Sus scrofa: one gene and its partners. The protein of the gene in region 3 purifies or fractionates together with the protein of the main gene of each other region. This does not show direct contact. Links are inferred from orthologs where the notes say so. Each region holds a gene or a part of one and is shown on either strand. Other genes may lie near its edges.

The links.
Region 1: the proteins of GARS (region 3) and IARS fractionate together in Homo sapiens (co-fractionation; 3 studies listed by BioGRID). This does not show direct contact. The link is inferred for Sus scrofa from reciprocal best matches to the Homo sapiens genes GARS1 and IARS1.
Region 2: the proteins of GARS (region 3) and GFPT1 fractionate together in Homo sapiens (co-fractionation; 3 studies listed by BioGRID, with this or other methods). This does not show direct contact. The link is inferred for Sus scrofa from reciprocal best matches to the Homo sapiens genes GARS1 and GFPT1.

The regions. Positions count from the first base shown.
Region 1 is NC_010445.4:41,983,660-41,989,078, forward strand, and holds part of IARS (isoleucine--tRNA ligase, cytoplasmic), read right to left. Parts: intron 3,516-5,419; coding exon 3,389-3,515; intron 1,763-3,388; coding exon 1,689-1,762; intron 1,306-1,688; coding exon 1,111-1,305; intron 8-1,110; coding exon 1-7. UniProt on the Homo sapiens protein: Catalyzes the specific attachment of an amino acid to its cognate tRNA in a 2 step reaction: the amino acid (AA) is first activated by ATP to form AA-AMP and then transferred to the acceptor end of the tRNA.
Region 2 is NC_010445.4:73,026,454-73,032,488, forward strand, and holds the start of GFPT1 (glutamine--fructose-6-phosphate aminotransferase [isomerizing] 1), read left to right. Parts: upstream 1-2,296; 5' UTR 2,297-2,497; coding exon 2,498-2,504; intron 2,505-6,035.
Region 3 is NC_010460.4:42,337,534-42,342,952, reverse strand, and holds part of GARS (glycine--tRNA ligase), read left to right. Parts: intron 1-460; coding exon 461-562; intron 563-1,545; coding exon 1,546-1,648; intron 1,649-2,928; coding exon 2,929-3,070; intron 3,071-3,814; coding exon 3,815-3,903; intron 3,904-4,397; coding exon 4,398-4,474; intron 4,475-5,419. UniProt on the Homo sapiens protein: Catalyzes the ATP-dependent ligation of glycine to the 3'-end of its cognate tRNA, via the formation of an aminoacyl-adenylate intermediate (Gly-AMP).

The DNA of each region.
Region 1 (5,419 bases), on a different chromosome or scaffold from region 3:
GTAAAACCTGGGGCAAAAAGAATCCACAGAGAAAGAGTTCAATAAAATAAGAAAAGGAATTCAAGCAAAGGAAAGAAAACTGTGTTTACTTATTGGACTGAATTTCTATTTTAGGTAAGTTGCACTTCTTGATAATCACTTAAAGCAACGGTGACACATTAGAATGATCCGGAAAGTGCTGAAAAATTAGGCTCTGGACCTACTGCAAAGCAATCATACTAGAGCTTCTCACTAGAAAAAAATAAAATGCGCTTTATTTAAAGCAAATAAAGCCCTGGAGTGAGGTAGTGACTCCCTGCTGGGAACAGTATTATCACCTTCCTCAGGGGAGCTACTGGACAGCCCCAAGGCAGAGCAGGGTGGCGCCGGGACGGCCTCTGAGACCTCCCAGAAATGCCAGGGTGAAAATCCAGAGAGGCGTACTGCCTTTAATATGAGGTTATATGGGACCGTCTGATGACACCAATATTCCTTAAACACTCCTGCAGAAACATTACTAATGGAAAGTATAATCAGAACCTGGGTCAGCCAAGCTCATCCATGAAGTGAAGATAACTCATCTTTTTCTAATTAAGAAAATGAGAGTACTGTTTTAGATAAGGCGCCTGATGAGATCAATGCCAAAATGCTCCCTATGCTCCCCCCCACACCCATCTGGATTTTTTAAGAATATTAATTTTATAAAGCTAGCCTTAACATTTGAGTATATTTTCAATGCTCCCTCAAATTTGTAGCACCCAACACATCATCTTGTATGTAAATACTAAACATTCGAGTAAATGACTTGAATAGAGGACATTGTTTTAAAGTAAACAAAAGTAAACACTGTTTTGTATCACCTATTCTTCTAATATAACAAATCTCTGTATTCCAAAATGTCAAATAATTCAAACTATAATTTGAAGCTACAGCCCTAGAGTTCTGAGAGATTCTTACTGAAAAGATACTTTTATGGGATGTTTGGTGGTGAGAGACAGAGGGCAGGAGCAAAGCCTGTCTTGCTTAACATAATCTCCCCAGCACTTCAAGTGCTAGGTGCTCAGTTAACCTGCTAAATCAAATCACATCAAATCAAATCAATAAAACATTTCAAAAGAACAAGGAACATACCATCCTCTGGTTTGGTCAATGCCTTCAGCAATGAAGTCTGCAGGAAATGAATCCTCAAACTCCCTCTTGTTTTCAAATGGATAATGAATCTGAGCATAGGGCATGCTGCCACTCTCGAACCAACAGTCAAACACTTCAGAGATGCGATGCAACAATCCTTTCCCACAGCGTGAAGGAATGGTCAGGTGGTCAATGCTAATAAACAAAGAAGTAGCCATTTCTATTAACTTTAAGCAAAACATAACTTACAGTTTAATTGCCAAGAGGAAACAGAATGCCCTCACAGCTTTCATATGCATCTGCAAACAGAAATACTGACAGTTATCACAGGTTTTCAGAGAGCACTATGAGTGCTCAATCTGAAAGGTTATATATATGCCAAAGTCTCCTGACACTTAACTCAAGGACAGAGGCCACCTTTCCTCAGAATCATCAACAACAAAGTAATCGAGCAATCTAGTGTTTGATTTCTACATGTGACTCTGTGATCTGCTATAGAGGCCATGTTCAAACTGGCTAGGACCTAGCCCGATACTCTCAGAATAGAACTGAAGTGCACCAAACATTCAGAAACTGACCTCTCTCTGTGGAGATCTGAGACCTTTGCTCCTGATAGTTCTTCAAGTTCTGCCACTGACCCAATGCACACTACCTGTCAAAACAAAGTTAAAAAGCCAGAGTGCCTCAGAGCCAAGGATCACACAGAGTTACTTTATATTACTTTATATGTTAATTCACATTTAGTTTGAGAAACCTTTGATCTTCAAGACGTTTGCAATCAATGTGGCTCACCCTCAGCCGTTCATGACCTACAGTCTTGTTTATTTTTTGCCGCTCCCATGGCACGTGGAAGTTCCTAGGCTAGGAATTAAACCTGTGTCGCAACTGCCACCTATGCCACAGCTGTGGCTATACTGGATCTTTAACCTATTGTGCCCGAAGTCCCTGTATAAACAAGTAGAGCAGGGCTCACTTCTTTGCTGCCTCCCCCATATCAGAGGGGACTCCTACATGGAGAGAGTTTAATCCCACCATTTCAGTAAGTATTTCTTGAAGGCTTATGATGCCCAAATCTCTGCCAAAAATAAACAGCTTAAGTGAAACTGCCTAGACTATTGCTCTAAGGTATCTTAGTTTCTTCCTGGCATTTGAATTTGTCTCTTTAATCTGAAATCTTTCCAAGCCAAAACTAGAACTGATGTAGTGTGCATGGACTGGATGAAATGATCAGACTGCAAGATAATAGGATTATGCTCATGTAAGGAGGCTGGGAAAGGGTCCAGCAGGGACACTTAGGACAGGGGGAGACATCGACAGAGGCTAAGCAGCTGGGCCATACCAGCAGAAACAGTTGCATGTTCGCCCCGAGAGGTCATCTGCTACATAATGAACACCCACATCCTTTTTCTCTGCCCTTCCTGCTCAGTCCTGAAAAGTCCTCCAATTCAGCCTTCACTGTTGCCTTTTAGGTCCCTGTTGGAGATTTACTGAGGTCCCAGGGTTGCTACTACTCATGACTGTTCTATCACTCTCAGCCCTGGATAGAAGGGAATACCTTCTATATGTATGTACATATTTATATAGAGACACACATATATATGCACTTCCTGTACATCTGTATGTACTTATAAAGAGATACACGAAGAAACACTTGATTTTATAAAGGTTTGCAATGCTTTGCTAATTTCTTTTAAGTGCTCCCCTACTTTGTGGCCACCCCATGGTATATGGAGTTCCCCGGCCAGGGATCAGATCCGAGCTATAGCTGCGACTGGATCCTTAACCCACTGTGCTGGGCTGGGGAATCAAATCTGCATCCCAGGGCTCCCAAGATGCCACCGATCCCACTGTGCCACAGCAGGAACTCCTTAAATTGTCCTTTTCAATTACTCCAAGGTCAGTTTAATATGCTGTGACTTAGTGCAGGGTGTGGAGTCTGCTCTGTCCATGAAAAACTCACAAGGAGAAAAAGAGATCTGAGTAACACAAAAAAAAAACAATGTAAGGATTTCCCTGAGAAAAATACAAACTGTACCCTTCACTTTTACACAGAGGGAAAATACTTACATTTAAAATAAAAGTAAAGTAAAAACAAATTAAAACCCTGAAAACATACTCTTATTTGTCATGATTCTAGGAAGGAACAGAGAAAAAATAATTGATGAAAAAAGAAAGGGGCAAATAAAAAAAGAAATAAATACTCTTTTACACCACCTTGAGATGCATGAATGAAGTACTTCAACAGAGATCAACGAAAGGAAACACTGCCCTGCCTCACCTCCTCGAAGTCATCACTGACCCACAGTGGGATAGGAGTGCCCCAGTATCTGTTTCTGGAAATTGCCCAGTCACGTGCATCTTTCAGCCAATTTCCAAATCGCTTTTCACGCACAAACTCTGGGACCCTGCAATAAATAGTTAATAACCAATCACATAGGAACATCAGTGAGTAAACTTGTAAACTAGACCCTTTGTATAAAGCTTTGTGAACCTAATGCTCTCCCAGCACTGAGCTCACTCCTAGGAGGATGTTTTCTGCACGGACAGGACAGCAGACCCATAGTGGCCGCTGCTGCTGTGAATTCATCCCAGGAAAGATGCTTTGTGTTATGAAACCCCACCGTACACAAGCTTTCCTGTCCCGCTCTCCACCTGGAGGACTGCCCCAGTCCCTTAAGCAATCCCATTATCACAGCCAGCCAATTCCCACTCAGACCTAGTCTTCAGATCATACACACAACAAATGCTTTTACTCAAACTCATTAGCAGGGCCTCTTGATCATCTACAAAGTAAGAGTCCGAGGAGTTCCTGTCGTGGCTCAGTGGAAACGAATTTGACTGGTATTCATGAGGACACAGGTTCAATCCCTGCCTCACTCAGTGGGTTAAGGATCCAGCATTGCTGTGACCTGTGGTGTAGGTCAACAGATGCAGCTCGGATCCTGAATTGCTGTGGCTGTGGCTGTGGCATAGGCCAGTAGCTACAGCTCTGATTAGACCCCTAGCCTGGGAACCTAGGGTGCGGCCCTAAAAAAACAAAACAAACAAACAAACAAAAAAACAAAACAAAGTAAGAGTACGAAAAACAGGTGGGCTATCTGTAGTGGGTGGGTAGCTGCCTCTCCCAGGCTCACCTGTAGTCCCCCTGCTAGCCTTAAGGCAAGTTCCTTAGAATGCAGCTTCTCACCTCACTGCCTTTCCCTCCACCTTGATAATATCCTCTACCACCTTCCTTCCCCAAGGCTCCTACTGTCTCTGGCTAGTCAATGACTCCTTATCCTTTAAAGTTCAGCTTTGTAAGAAACATTCCCAAGCCCAAAGCAGAATTAGGGCACTTCTAGGCTCCCAAACATCCTGTCTTCTCAGGTGCTGCAGTTACCATCCTGAGTCAACTTAGAGGCCTGGACCTCCCTCTCTCAGCACATTTCCACCCCGTCCAACGATGACACCATACTAATATTCCATACGTAGCACTCCACTAGGAAACTAAAGAGCTTCTTAAGTATAAAAGTCAAAAAATTGCTTTTTAAGAAATCAGAGTCACTTTGCTAAGAAATAAAGAAAGCTATAGTTTCCTTTTATTGCCCTGAGATTTCCCCATTCTTCCAAAATCAAATGCAGTTTTTAAAGTCAAGTTGGATTCTTGGGGGAATTAAGAAAGAGCGATTACCCTCAAAACTTTCAGTGAAAAACATTCTTCTGGAATACATAATCTTATATCATATTTGCATCTATAGGTTGAAGTATAGTAGTCCCCCTTATCTGCAGTTTCACTTAATGTGGTTTCAGTTACCCACAGTCAACTGTGGTCCAAATAGCTTAAAAGGAAAACTTCAGGAATAAAAAATTCTTAAGTTTTGGAGTTGCCATCATGGCTCAGCAGAAATGAATCTGACAAGGAACCATGAGGTTGTGGGTTTGATCCCTGGCCTTGTTCAGTGGGTTAAGGATCTGGTGTTGCCGTGAGATGTGTGGCATAGGTCGCAAACGCAGCTCGGATCCTATGCTGCTGTGGCTGTGGTGTAGGCTGGCAGCTCCAGCTCCAATTTGACCCCAGCCTGGGAACCTCCATATACCATGAGTGCAGCCCCAAAAAGCAAAAAAAAGGTCTTAGGTTTTAAGTTGCACACAGTCCTAGGCAGCATGAGGAGTTGTGCCCTTGCACTCCACCCTGCTTGGGGACTGAACTATCCCTTGGTCAGGAGTATCCAGGCTGTGTGTACTACCTGCCCGTTGGCCACCTAATAGCCACCTCGGCGGTTACAACCCATTGCTGGTTATCTCAGCTCCCGTGTTCAAACAACTCTTT
Region 2 (6,035 bases), on a different chromosome or scaffold from region 3:
TAAAAACTTAGAACCATGAGTTCCTGTCATGACTCAGAAGTGAATCTGACTAGCATCCATGAAGACACAGGTTCAATCCCTGGCCTCACTCAGTGGGTCAAGGATCCAGCGTGCCCGTGGGCTGTGGTATAGGTCTCAGATGCCGCCCCGATCCCACATTGCTATGGCTGTGGTGTAGGCCAGGGGCCACAGCTCCGATTTTACCCCCAGCCTGGGAACCTCCACATGTCATGGGTGTGGCCTCAAAAAGACAAAAACAAACAAATGAAAAAACCTTAGGACCAAGTTCTACTTTTCCTTAAAATGTAGGAAGATACAAGGGAATATTACTCTACCCAAACAACAAGAAGGAGCTGGATAATATACAGATTATAATATTTATCGAGCCCAGCAGAGAGGAGAGACAGCAAAGCAAACAAGGAAACTGGATTCCAAAGGGTGACAAGTGGAGATGGAGGCTCCCACAAAAGAAATCAGCTAAATTTTAATGAATTCTTAAAGGGAAAAGTGTAGACTAGTGCAACAGTATGAAAGAGCTGGGGGTCTCAGACACAAGAGGAGTTTGTTCCCTGAGCTGCCACCAAGTAGCTCTCTAGAAGGATTTGGAGCAGGCAGGGGACAGAGAGAGCCTTTCAGGATGGCACAGGCCCCCGGGAGATGGCCAGGAGCGGCTGGCAGACAGGCATGAAGCCCTAGCCACTTTCCCAACCCATCTCTCAGACAAAGCCAAAGTCTTAAGCCACTGGGCAGCAAATTCTCTTACCCTAGGACCAAGAAAAACAGTCTACTGCTGCCACTGCATGTATCTTTTTTAATCAGAGTTTTCATCTTTTCCAGATAATGCTAAAAGGGCATCTTTTCCCCTCTAAGAAAAACTGAAAAGCCCTTTGCTCACTTAATCAGGTAACTAGCCTTAGGAAGGCAAATCTGCTAGGAACATTTTTTTTTTCCCACTTGTTTTTTTCATTCATTCAACATTTTGGTCCCTTTTTGCTAGGGCTTATACTAGATGTCGGGTTTGCAAAGACTATAGCCTTAAGAAACAGCTTTGTAGGGAAATATATTTTTTAAAAAATCATAAAATATAGAAGCATGTTGCTTTAAGGGGGGCAGTTCAAAGAATGTGAGGTGAATGAATGTCCTTAAGTCTCTGGGGAAGACACAAAGGGTTTTCTCCAAGAGGCAGCATTTAGGCAGAGGTGGAGTGAGGATTCCAAAGAGTAAAAAAGGTGTGAGAATGTGAGCCCACTCGGGACTACCTGCTCCCAGGTTTGTTGGAGTGTAAAGTGTTGAAAGGTGCGGAAGGGAGAGAGCAGTAGTGTGAGCTAAGACCAAACACCTAGGATAAGAAGATCATGCACTGTTCTGTATGTTCCCTAAGTTTTTATTTTATTCTAGTCTTGGGCCATTAATAGAGTTATGATAACCATCTACATTTGATTAAAGATAGCATTTAAATCTTAAAGCAAATGCTCAGGTAATAAATTTTCAGAAACATCATCTCTCTCTGATTAAGTCTCTCTTGCCAGCAATGGTGCATTAATTTATAGAATTAATCATTCAGAGTCAAATGTACGTCTACCAAATGGAGGCAGTTCCTACAGTCCTCTCCCGTGGGCCATCTCAAGTCTAGGGTAGCAGAGTTTTTTAAGGCTGGGCGCACAGCGTTCGATAGTTGCGTTGTAAAATTTGACCTCTCCCTCCTCCGCAAAAAACTGGTTTATGGAGCAGTGGATGGGGATCGAAATGGGCAGCAGAGGGTTTTAGAGGCCAAGCATATGATTTTAGAGCTTAAGTCCTGAACTGAATCGTCTGTCACCAGAAAGTCTGGCTGAACCTGACCTCACCTCATAGTTTTTCTTTAACCTTATGTCTCCTTTCCACCTGACTTGTTTGTCCCCTAGGATCAAGCTTCCTGCTTTCTTCCTCCTCTCTCCCCGCTTCCTGGGGGTGCCATAGCTTGAGGCCCTGGTCTGCTCGAGGCGCACTCCCCAAGGCTATTTGCTTTGCTAACAATTCCATCCTGTTTCTTAATCTCTCCGTCATTCCCGGCCAGCCAGCGAGTTCTTTCTCCCCCACAGCGTAGTACCTCCCGCTGCTAGTCAGGGCGGCTCCAGGAACCTCAAGCGGATGCGACCGCGAGCCGGTGCCACGTCTCGGCAGCCAGCAGGCCAGCGCCTGCGTGGGCTCAGGGGCGGGATGGGGCGGAGCGGCGCGGGGAGGCGGGACGTGCCTGTGAGCGGCACGGAAGCGGTCCAATGGGACTTGCGGGCGGCGGCGGCGGCGCGGTGCGCGCCGGGGGGCGGGGCCCGGCGGCGGTTGTTCGCTAGCCCGGGAGGCCGAGACCGCTGTCGTTGCCTCGGCTGTCCGCATCTCTGAGGCTGTAGTGTCGGCTACCCCTTGGCCCCCAAGCCCGGAGATCGTCCCACAGGCTCGTGTGAGCTCCCGAACTCGCCAGCCACTCGCTGTTTCCTGTGCCGACCGTGCCTCCTGCATCATGTGCGGTAAGGGGGCCGCGGGCGGGGGGTGTGTTGCGGGGCGGTGCTGGGGTGCGGTGCGGGCGCCGCTGAGGTTTGGTTGCGCTGGCGGGAACCGGAGTCGGGAGGGTGCGAAGCCTGGGTGTTGGGCAGGGGGCGTCCCGTGGTGACTGCGGGTGCTGGGGGCGGAGGCCGGCCTCTAAGAGCTGGCGGGGTGGTGGTGAACCTAGAAAGGCACCTGAGAGGAGGGCGGGTCCTATAGGGAATCTGGGGGGCCAGAGAGGGCTTTGCACCGAGACACAAACCAGGAGGGAAGAGAAAGGTCTGTATTGGAAAAGGAGCGAGGGCTGAGGGAACTGAGGTGTGGAGGGGAGTGACTTCAGAGTCCACCAGGTGAGTGAGGCAACCTGTGGAACATCAGGTGAGGTCTCTTGAATTTTATTGATTGCATTCGTCCAGGATTTATCTTTTAAAAAATACTGTAGCTGCTTTCTTTCGGGCAGGCCCAGAAGAAATTCGAACCTTAGCTAAAGCTACGACAATGGCATTATGCACGATCTTACTTCCTGCCACCTACCACCCCCCCCCGCAGCGGCGGCCCCCCCCCCGGGGGGGGTCTCAACAGAAACCGTGGCTAATTAATATCTTGTGAATGGGTCCAGACGTGACCCTGGAGATAGATCTTACATCATTTATCATTTACGTGTACCATCCTCTTGAAACACTTGTGAAAAATGTTGGTGAACATTTAGTGACTGTTTTACCTAGAACAGTTAATACATAAAGTTAGGCCCTTTTATTCCATTTTTTGAGACTTAGTCATTTTAATATCGCCTAAAAGTGCGAGTTAAAAGGAATTGTCAGAATTATATCTGGAATGACTGATATGCTCTAAAATTGGTATTTACTTAGCTATCATCAGTAAAAAAGAATTGAGTTCTTACCTTTCTTACTGAAATGTACAACTGACCTAACTCTGGAAGAAGGAATACTTTTTTTAAGGGTGGTATGACTGTAATAGAATTTGAAGCTTTCTGGGGGACTTATTCTTTGTAGCCTTTGTCAAGAGGAACTGAGCAGGAGTTATTTTGTACTCATTAGTGTATATTATTCCCGTGTTTTAACTTTGTGCTAATGTCAGCTTCTGAAATGAGGAGCAGGTTTAAATTTAGAGTAGATTAAAAAAAAAGGCACAAAACAGAAACAACTATAAATAGCTTGTTGAAATTATTAGCTGTAGAGCTGACTTTAGATTCAGTTATTCTTTTGCTATGTCTAGGTAGTAGAATGGTTTTGCAAAAGCAGGTGATTTGGTTTTGATTACTGTGAGGTAATGAATTTGCAAACAGATTAATCCCTAGTGTGCTTTGTTTGGTAATTAACTGTTCCTGAGTGATAAGGTGTGTGCCTAGTCAAGTACCTGACTCTCTGGTTGTGGTCATTTCTTCATCTTGTTCCAGGAAAAAAGGTAGTCAAAGTACAGGTGTATTAAAAGAGAGAAAAAAAAATTAGATTGGTTTAGAAAAAGTTCAGAGAAGGGTGAGGCTTTTAGGGTGGAGATTGGATATTGGGGTTTTCATAACGCCAGTATCCGCATTCCAGTGTTTTACTGCTGAGGAAACAGGTGATAATGAAGAACTAGTATTTGAGGCATTTCTAAGGTCCTGCTTTTAATTTTAACCTCTACCAGAGTTTTACATGATTCCAGGAATAGGGTCCATACTTTATTTCCTCTTTAAGTTCTGAAAGTTTACTGCTAAGAAGATAAGTTTGTCTTCATTTCCCTCCCCCATCTTAATTATTAAAATAAAATTTCTAGGCAGAGAAATTGAGTGGGAATGAGATTAGTTGGGAAAATTTAGAGGTTTACCTTCTAATTACCTGCTGCTTGTTCACATTTCCCTAAAAGATTATTCCCTTTCAACATTGAAGAATGTTGAAGCGAAAGAATGAGGTCTAACAGTTCTTTTTGATATGCCTTTTCCAGTCAGAAATACTGATAAAACTGTTATGAAACTTACCAGATTGTTTCCGGATGTTAATAAGTGTTACTGAGAAGGAAGAAAAGAGATTTTATGGTTAAATAAATTTGAGAAGCAACAGAGTAAACAGTGTTGAACCAGCTTTTTTTTTTTTTTTTTTTAATGGCCAGTCTCAAGGCATATGGAAGTTTCTTGGCCAGGGATTGTATATGAGCCACAGCTGTGACCTACACGCAACTGCTGCAACACTGGATCCTTTAACCTCTGTGTCAGACCCAAGCCATTGCAGTCAGGTTCTTAACCCACTGTGCCACAGTGGGAACTCCTGAACTGGCTTTTTTTAAATTGCAGGACTTACTGGAACATTTAATGTGCTAATAAGCATTATGAATCTCCCAGAGAAAAATAGTGTGCCAATTTTCCGAATGTATTTTGTTATCTTCTTATTCTTGGTTCTTTGGAATTCACTTTGCCGTTTTTAATTTGTTTTACCTTTGGCTTTGTGAAAGAGTCTCAGTTCACTTGAGCTATCCACAGCTTTTAACGGATTTTCTGTTTTTTAGAAATGTGGCGTTATATCCTTCTGGTCTGATGGTATATACAAATGACACACTTGTAAATAATATCATATTTAAAAGCAGTGAGAAAGCTGCAATTAAAAAATATCCTGAAATGAATCCTTAAAATGCTTTTCTCTAATTATACCGTGTAATGACTTTGAGGCTAGTGAGGGATGCTGAGAATGGCTTCTAGGCTAAATCATAAAACTAATATTATTTACATATTCTTAGAAGTCATACTGGGTATAAAGTAGTTGTGAAAGAAAGTAATTGCTTAATGAACATTTCCTCAGATATGTCCCTGGAAAGAGAAGAGTTGATAGGTCCTGGTAATGAGCAGTGGAAGGTAGAAAGAGTTTTGTAATACATAAGTTTGGGAAATTCTGCTTTTGGAGATTCAGTTTTAGGAAGTTCTGCAAATAAACCTGTTAACTTTGTTTAATCCAGTGTTTCTTTTTTTCTTTTTTTTAATGGCTGCACCCGAGGCATTTGGAAGTTCCTGGGCCAGGGATTGAATCTGAGTTGCATCTGCGATCTGTGCCACAGCCATGGCAACACCAGGATTCTTTAACTCTCTTGCATTGAGTGGGGAATCGAATCTGTACCTCCTCAGCACCCTGAGCTGCTGCAGTCAGATTCTTAACCCACTGTACCACAGTGGGAACTCAAATTCAGTATTTCTTAAACCTTTAATTATGGAGACTTTCTTTTACCTCATTTCTGTTTAGCACTGTATTTCTGAAATACAGTGTTCTCTTTGTATGGTTTGGGTTTTTTTTTTTTTTTTTTTTTTTGGCTACACCCATGGCACATGGAAATTCCCAGGCCAGGGATTGAATCCATATTATAGCCATGACCCAGGCTACAGCAGTGACAACACTGGGTCCTTAACTGATAGGCCACCAGGGAACTCCGATTTGGGAATTTTTTTTTTTTTTTTTGCCTTTTTAGGGCCACCCCTGCATCATATGGAAGTTCCCAGGCTAGGGGTTGAATTGGAGCTGTAGCTGCCGGCC
Region 3 (5,419 bases):
GAAAAAGAAATTAGCAAGGGAGATAAGCCAGTAGTAACTGAGAAGACACGGTCAGAGAGCTAAGTGGAAAACTAAGACAGTCGTTTTTTTGTAAGCGAGAAAGGGGAGAGACTCACGGAGAGGGTGGTCTGTTGGTTCTTCTGTGTTCTCAGTACTGACTTAGCTCTTCACTTTTTGTCAGTGCTTTTCTCTCCTCCATCCATCCAGTCCTCACAAAGAGAAAAAACAAACCAGTAGTAATCACCCTGTGAGCATGGTTATTTATGTACTCATCTGTATATTCTGCTGGATTATAAAGGCTGAGGGCAGAGACCTTCAGTTATTCATAAGGAACTTTTTTTCACATAGTAAACATTTGAATTTCCTCATTCTTACACTTTTTACAAGGCGTGCTTCAAAATGCTTTTCTTGACTTCTGGAAACCAACCAGTCCTGAATACGCATTCTCTTGGTTGCCTAGGGAGACCTTGTGCGAAAACTGAAAGAAGATAAAGCACCCCAAGTAGATGTAGACAAAGCAGTCGCTGAGCTCAAAGCCCGGAAGAGGGTTCTGGAAGCAAAGGTGAGTCTAGGGGATCCTGAAAAAGGAACATAAGTAGGTATAGAATTATTCACCTTTATTTAGTCTCTTTGGGTGGGAGAGACCTAGAAAAGTTTCTGAATTAGTCACATTTGCTGTATCTCTACTTACCCAGAATCCTCTCCTCCTCCTCTACTTGGCAGACTCCTCACCCCTTCTGCGTATAACTCAAAATGTCACGTTTTCTCAAAGCCTTCCTCCTCCCTGACCCATCCCTTCTCTGCCCTGACTTACATCCTAGGCTGGTTATGTTCCATGAATGTTCCTGGAAGGCATTGTGTTCTTATGAATTCCCTGATGTCTGCAAATAATAGTGATGATGTTTTAAATTTTTTTCTCTTAAGGTAAAGTTCTATTCACCTGATACATGCTCCCGAACTTTCAAATTATAAATTTCCCATCACCAAACTGGAATAGTTTGAAGTTTTTGTTTGTTTGTTTGTTTGTTTTTATCTTTTCTAGGGCTGCATCTGCGGCATATGGAGGTTCCCAGGCTAGGGCTTGAATCAGAGCAGTAGCGGCTGGCCTACACCACAGCTCATGGCAACGTTGGATCCTTAACCCACTGAGCGAGGCCAGGGATTGAACCCACAACTTTATGGTTTCTAGTCGGATTCGTTAACCACTGAGCCGCAACAGGAACTCCCAGTTTGAAGTTTTAAGTCACTTTCCCTACAGTGATCCACTGAAAAATCAAGTATTGGTTCAGTATCTGCATCTAAGTAAGCTTAGTCTGATAGTCTTGGAAATGATCACACACTTTCCTAAATAGTTAAGTAAGGGTGTCTTTTCTGGAACTCAAAGGGGAAAACACCCTAAGGTTTCTCTTGTTTTAAGGGTCTCCAAATCTTGTCTGATAAATTTTATACTGAATTCTGCTGAGGAATAAAACAAATTCATGTGTGTAAATTGAAATTCCCACTCACTCCTCCAGTCATGTATTTTCTCTTTAAAAATCCCTATAGGAGCTAGCGTTACAGCCCAAAGATGATGTGGTAGACAGAGCAAAAATGGAAGATACCCTGAAGAGGAGGTTTTTCTACGATCAAGCTTTTGCTATTTATGGAGGTAGGGAACTGATGAGAGAAAGAACAATTGTGTTGTTAGTGGATTTAATAATCTTTTTTTTTTTTTTCCTTTTTTTAGGTCCGCAACTGCGGCACATGGAAGTTCCCAGGCCAGGGGTTGAATCGAAGCTGCAGCTGCTGGCCTACACCACAGCCACAGCAACACCATATCTGAGCCATGTCTGCGACCTACACCTCAGCCCACAGCAACACCAGATCCCTAACCCACTGAACAAGACCAGGGATCAAACCCACATCCTCATGGATGCTAAGTTGGGTTCTTAACCCACTGAGCTATGACGGGAACTCCTGATTTAATGTTCTTAAATCAGAAACACAGCTTGCCAATTGGTAGCTAATTATATCCGGTCACACGAAGCAGAGGCTAGTTATCTTGCTGTCATTTGTTTCGAGTTGGTCACTTGGTGTGATGTCTGTTCTTGTTTCCCTACACCCTCCTTGTTCTTGAAGGCGACTTTTTGCATTAGGACTTAGGGAATTAAGGGGGGTCCCGATATTAAACACTTGATGTGTCCATGCCAGTGGAGCCTAGGGAGCAGGAGGGGCCATTGTACACTGGCCGACTGCACTGTGCCCCTGCACACAAGGGCTTGATAAACCATAGTTCCTAGATCAGTCATTGTGGCAGCTGCCAGGAGAGAACGTGCTTCATAGGTACGCAAATACATCTGCATCTTTTCTGAACACCACGTGAATTTATGTAGACAAATATAATTCACTGATTAAATGTAGAATGGTATTTTTCATAGTTTTCAGAGATTATTGCAACAATATTAGACTTTCAGTACTTTGCTACCGACCTTGATTTGAGTTTTAGTCTGAGCAGATCTCTAAGTGTTTAACTTCTTGAGGTTTAAATGGTGGCTCAAATACTCAAGAATATTTTAGAGAATTGGCTACTAAAATTTGAGATCATATTTATTCAGCTGATACAACAAATTATTTTCTGATTTCTATAGCAGAAATCTATAATCTGCCTTTGCATTCTTTCTTATATATGGAGGAAGGTCTTTTTACTTTTTCTAGTTTTTTGCTAATCCTACCTGAAATTTCAAGTTTGGAAATAGTAAATGGAATGAGAGTATTTTCATTTTACCTCTCTGTCAGCTAGCTGAAAATAAGGCTCTTCAGTATTGAGGAATTTGAATACATTTTTAGGGAGTAAGCGAAGTCTTAAAAGTATCAGTTTCTTGTGTCTCCTTGCTTTAATTTGTTCAGAGTAACAAGGGAAAGTACCCGTTTTCCTCCTGTATTTTGCAGGTGTTAGTGGCCTCTATGATTTTGGGCCAGTTGGATGTGCTTTGAAGAACAATATTATTCAGACCTGGAGGCAGCACTTTATCCAAGAGGAACAGATCCTGGAGATTGATTGCACCATGCTCACCCCCGAGCCAGTTTTAAAGTAAGATTTCTAGTTTGAGGTGGAAATTCTAACTAACTTTTTCTGATTAAAAAAACTACCCATGTTCATTGTGAAAATCTAGAAAATAAAGAAAAACAGAAAATATTTACTGCCCACAGATAGCCATGTTAAAAATGTTGTATTTATCCTTCCTGTCTTTTTTTAAATTTAAATTTTTATTTTTATTTATTTTGTTGTCTATTTTTGGCTGTGCCTATGGTATTCAGAAGTCCCCAGGCCAAGGATCAAACCCTCACCACAACCTGCTGAGCTGCAAGGGAATTCAGCCAATTAAAACAAATTGAGTTCTTAATGATGGATATAAGATCAGAACAACCAATTCTTTACTCCTTGCTCCACTTTTGGGAACTGCGTAGAGATAAATACCAGTGTCCATGCAGGTTTTGGTGGCAGAAAAATCCTTTAGGTTCATTGTCTATACTGAGTTATCACAAATTCTTGGGTAGTCAGAATCCTCGTGTTTTGGACTTTGCTTGGATCACTAATAATAATGAGACAGCAGTGACAATGCCATACCCTTAACTCACTAGGCCACGGGGAACTCCAGGCATACATTTTTATCTGCTGTGGGATGGATCATAATAGATATGGAAGCTTTCATCTTTCAGATTCACAGATGTAAACTATGGCTAAACATATAGAAGGGAGATTGTCTTACAAGGTAAAAATCTATGTGTTAATTCGTATGAAAATGACTAATTGGCTTGGCATTTATTAACTTAGGACCTCTGGCCACGTAGACAAGTTTGCTGATTTCATGGTGAAGGATGTCAAAAATGGAGAGTGTTTTCGGGCTGACCATCTGTTGAAAGGTATGGTTCTTTATCTCAGATAAATATCCTTTCAAGTAGTTGATCAAAACAAAGGCTTTGGATTAATCTTTAATCTCAAATATTTTTCATTATGTTTTTTTCTTGGGATGTAACATACAAAGAGTAAGTGCACAGATCTTATAAGTATACAGATCTAGTCCCTCATTTAAAAAAAATATATATATGTGTGTGTGTGTGTGTATATATATGTGTGTGTGTGTATATATATATGTGTGTGTGTGTGTATATGTGTGTGTGTGTGTATATGTGTGTGTGTGTGTGTACACGTATAAGATCATTGGAAATTCTAATGCACCAAAAGAACCAAGACAATACTATGACTCTCCCTGTAAAATCAACCATGGGATTCATATAAATTAAGAACATTATCCTTGGGTTCATTTTTTTTACCTGTCCAGCGTTGACACTCAAAAGTACATGGTCCTTTTTTTCTGACCGATCGAAATTGACATTTACCAACCCTGTTTTTGTAGCTCATTTACAGAAATTGATGTCTGACAAGAAGTGCTCTGCTGAGAAGAAATCAGAGATGGAAAGTGTCTTGGCCCAGGTGAGTGCTTGAGAGATGTCATCACAGTAACCCAGGTAGGTGCTGTCTGTCTTTCAGCATCTGATAACTGTCGGATTCCGCACGTGCTGACCTGGTCACCGCTGTAAAGAAGTTTACTTTCTGTCCCTTGTGCCATCTCTTTTTGCGTTTTTATTTGCTTCTCTGTCTACTCTTTGTGGCTAATCCTTTATTTCTATCAAACTGGGCAGGTCAGTGAAAACAGACATGAAATTAGTTCTCTCTCCTCGGAAACTAATTGTCTGGATTTAATGGCAAAAATCAGGGCAGTCTCTAATGGTGACTCGCATTCAGCATGGAGGTTTGGGGCAGGCATGTATATGAGCGCTGTCTCATGGCCACTTCTGTAGACCTATAATGGTTTTGTTTGTTTGTTTGTTTTTGTCTTTTGTCTTTTTTATGGCCGCATCCATGGCATATGGAAGTTCCCAGGTTACGGTTGAATCGGAGCTGTAGCCACTGGCCTATGCCACAGCCACAGCAACGCAGGATCCGAGCCATGTCTGCTACAGCTATGGCAACGCCAGATCCTTAACCCACTGAGCGAGACCAGGGATTGAGCCCTCGTCCTCATGGGTGTTAGCTGGGTTCGTTAACCGCTGAGGCAGGACGGGAACTCCTGTAGACCAATAGTTTTAGAGTTTATTTAAGTTGATAATTTTAGGGAAGGCCAAAGATACCATTGAGATAACCTCTTCTGACCTTTAGCTGATGTAGAAGTGCAGAAATACCTTCTGTGTCCGAAGTAGTTCTTACCCTTCTCTTGCACACCTTTGCCCCAGGGAGGCGCACGTGTCCACATGTGAATGTTGCTGGTTTCTCTCACCTCATCTATCCTTTCAAGCAAAGTACATTTTTCCAGCACCACGTTTGATCCTGAGGTCCAGCAGGGCTTACCTCTTAAATTTTATTGACTTCCTTGGATGA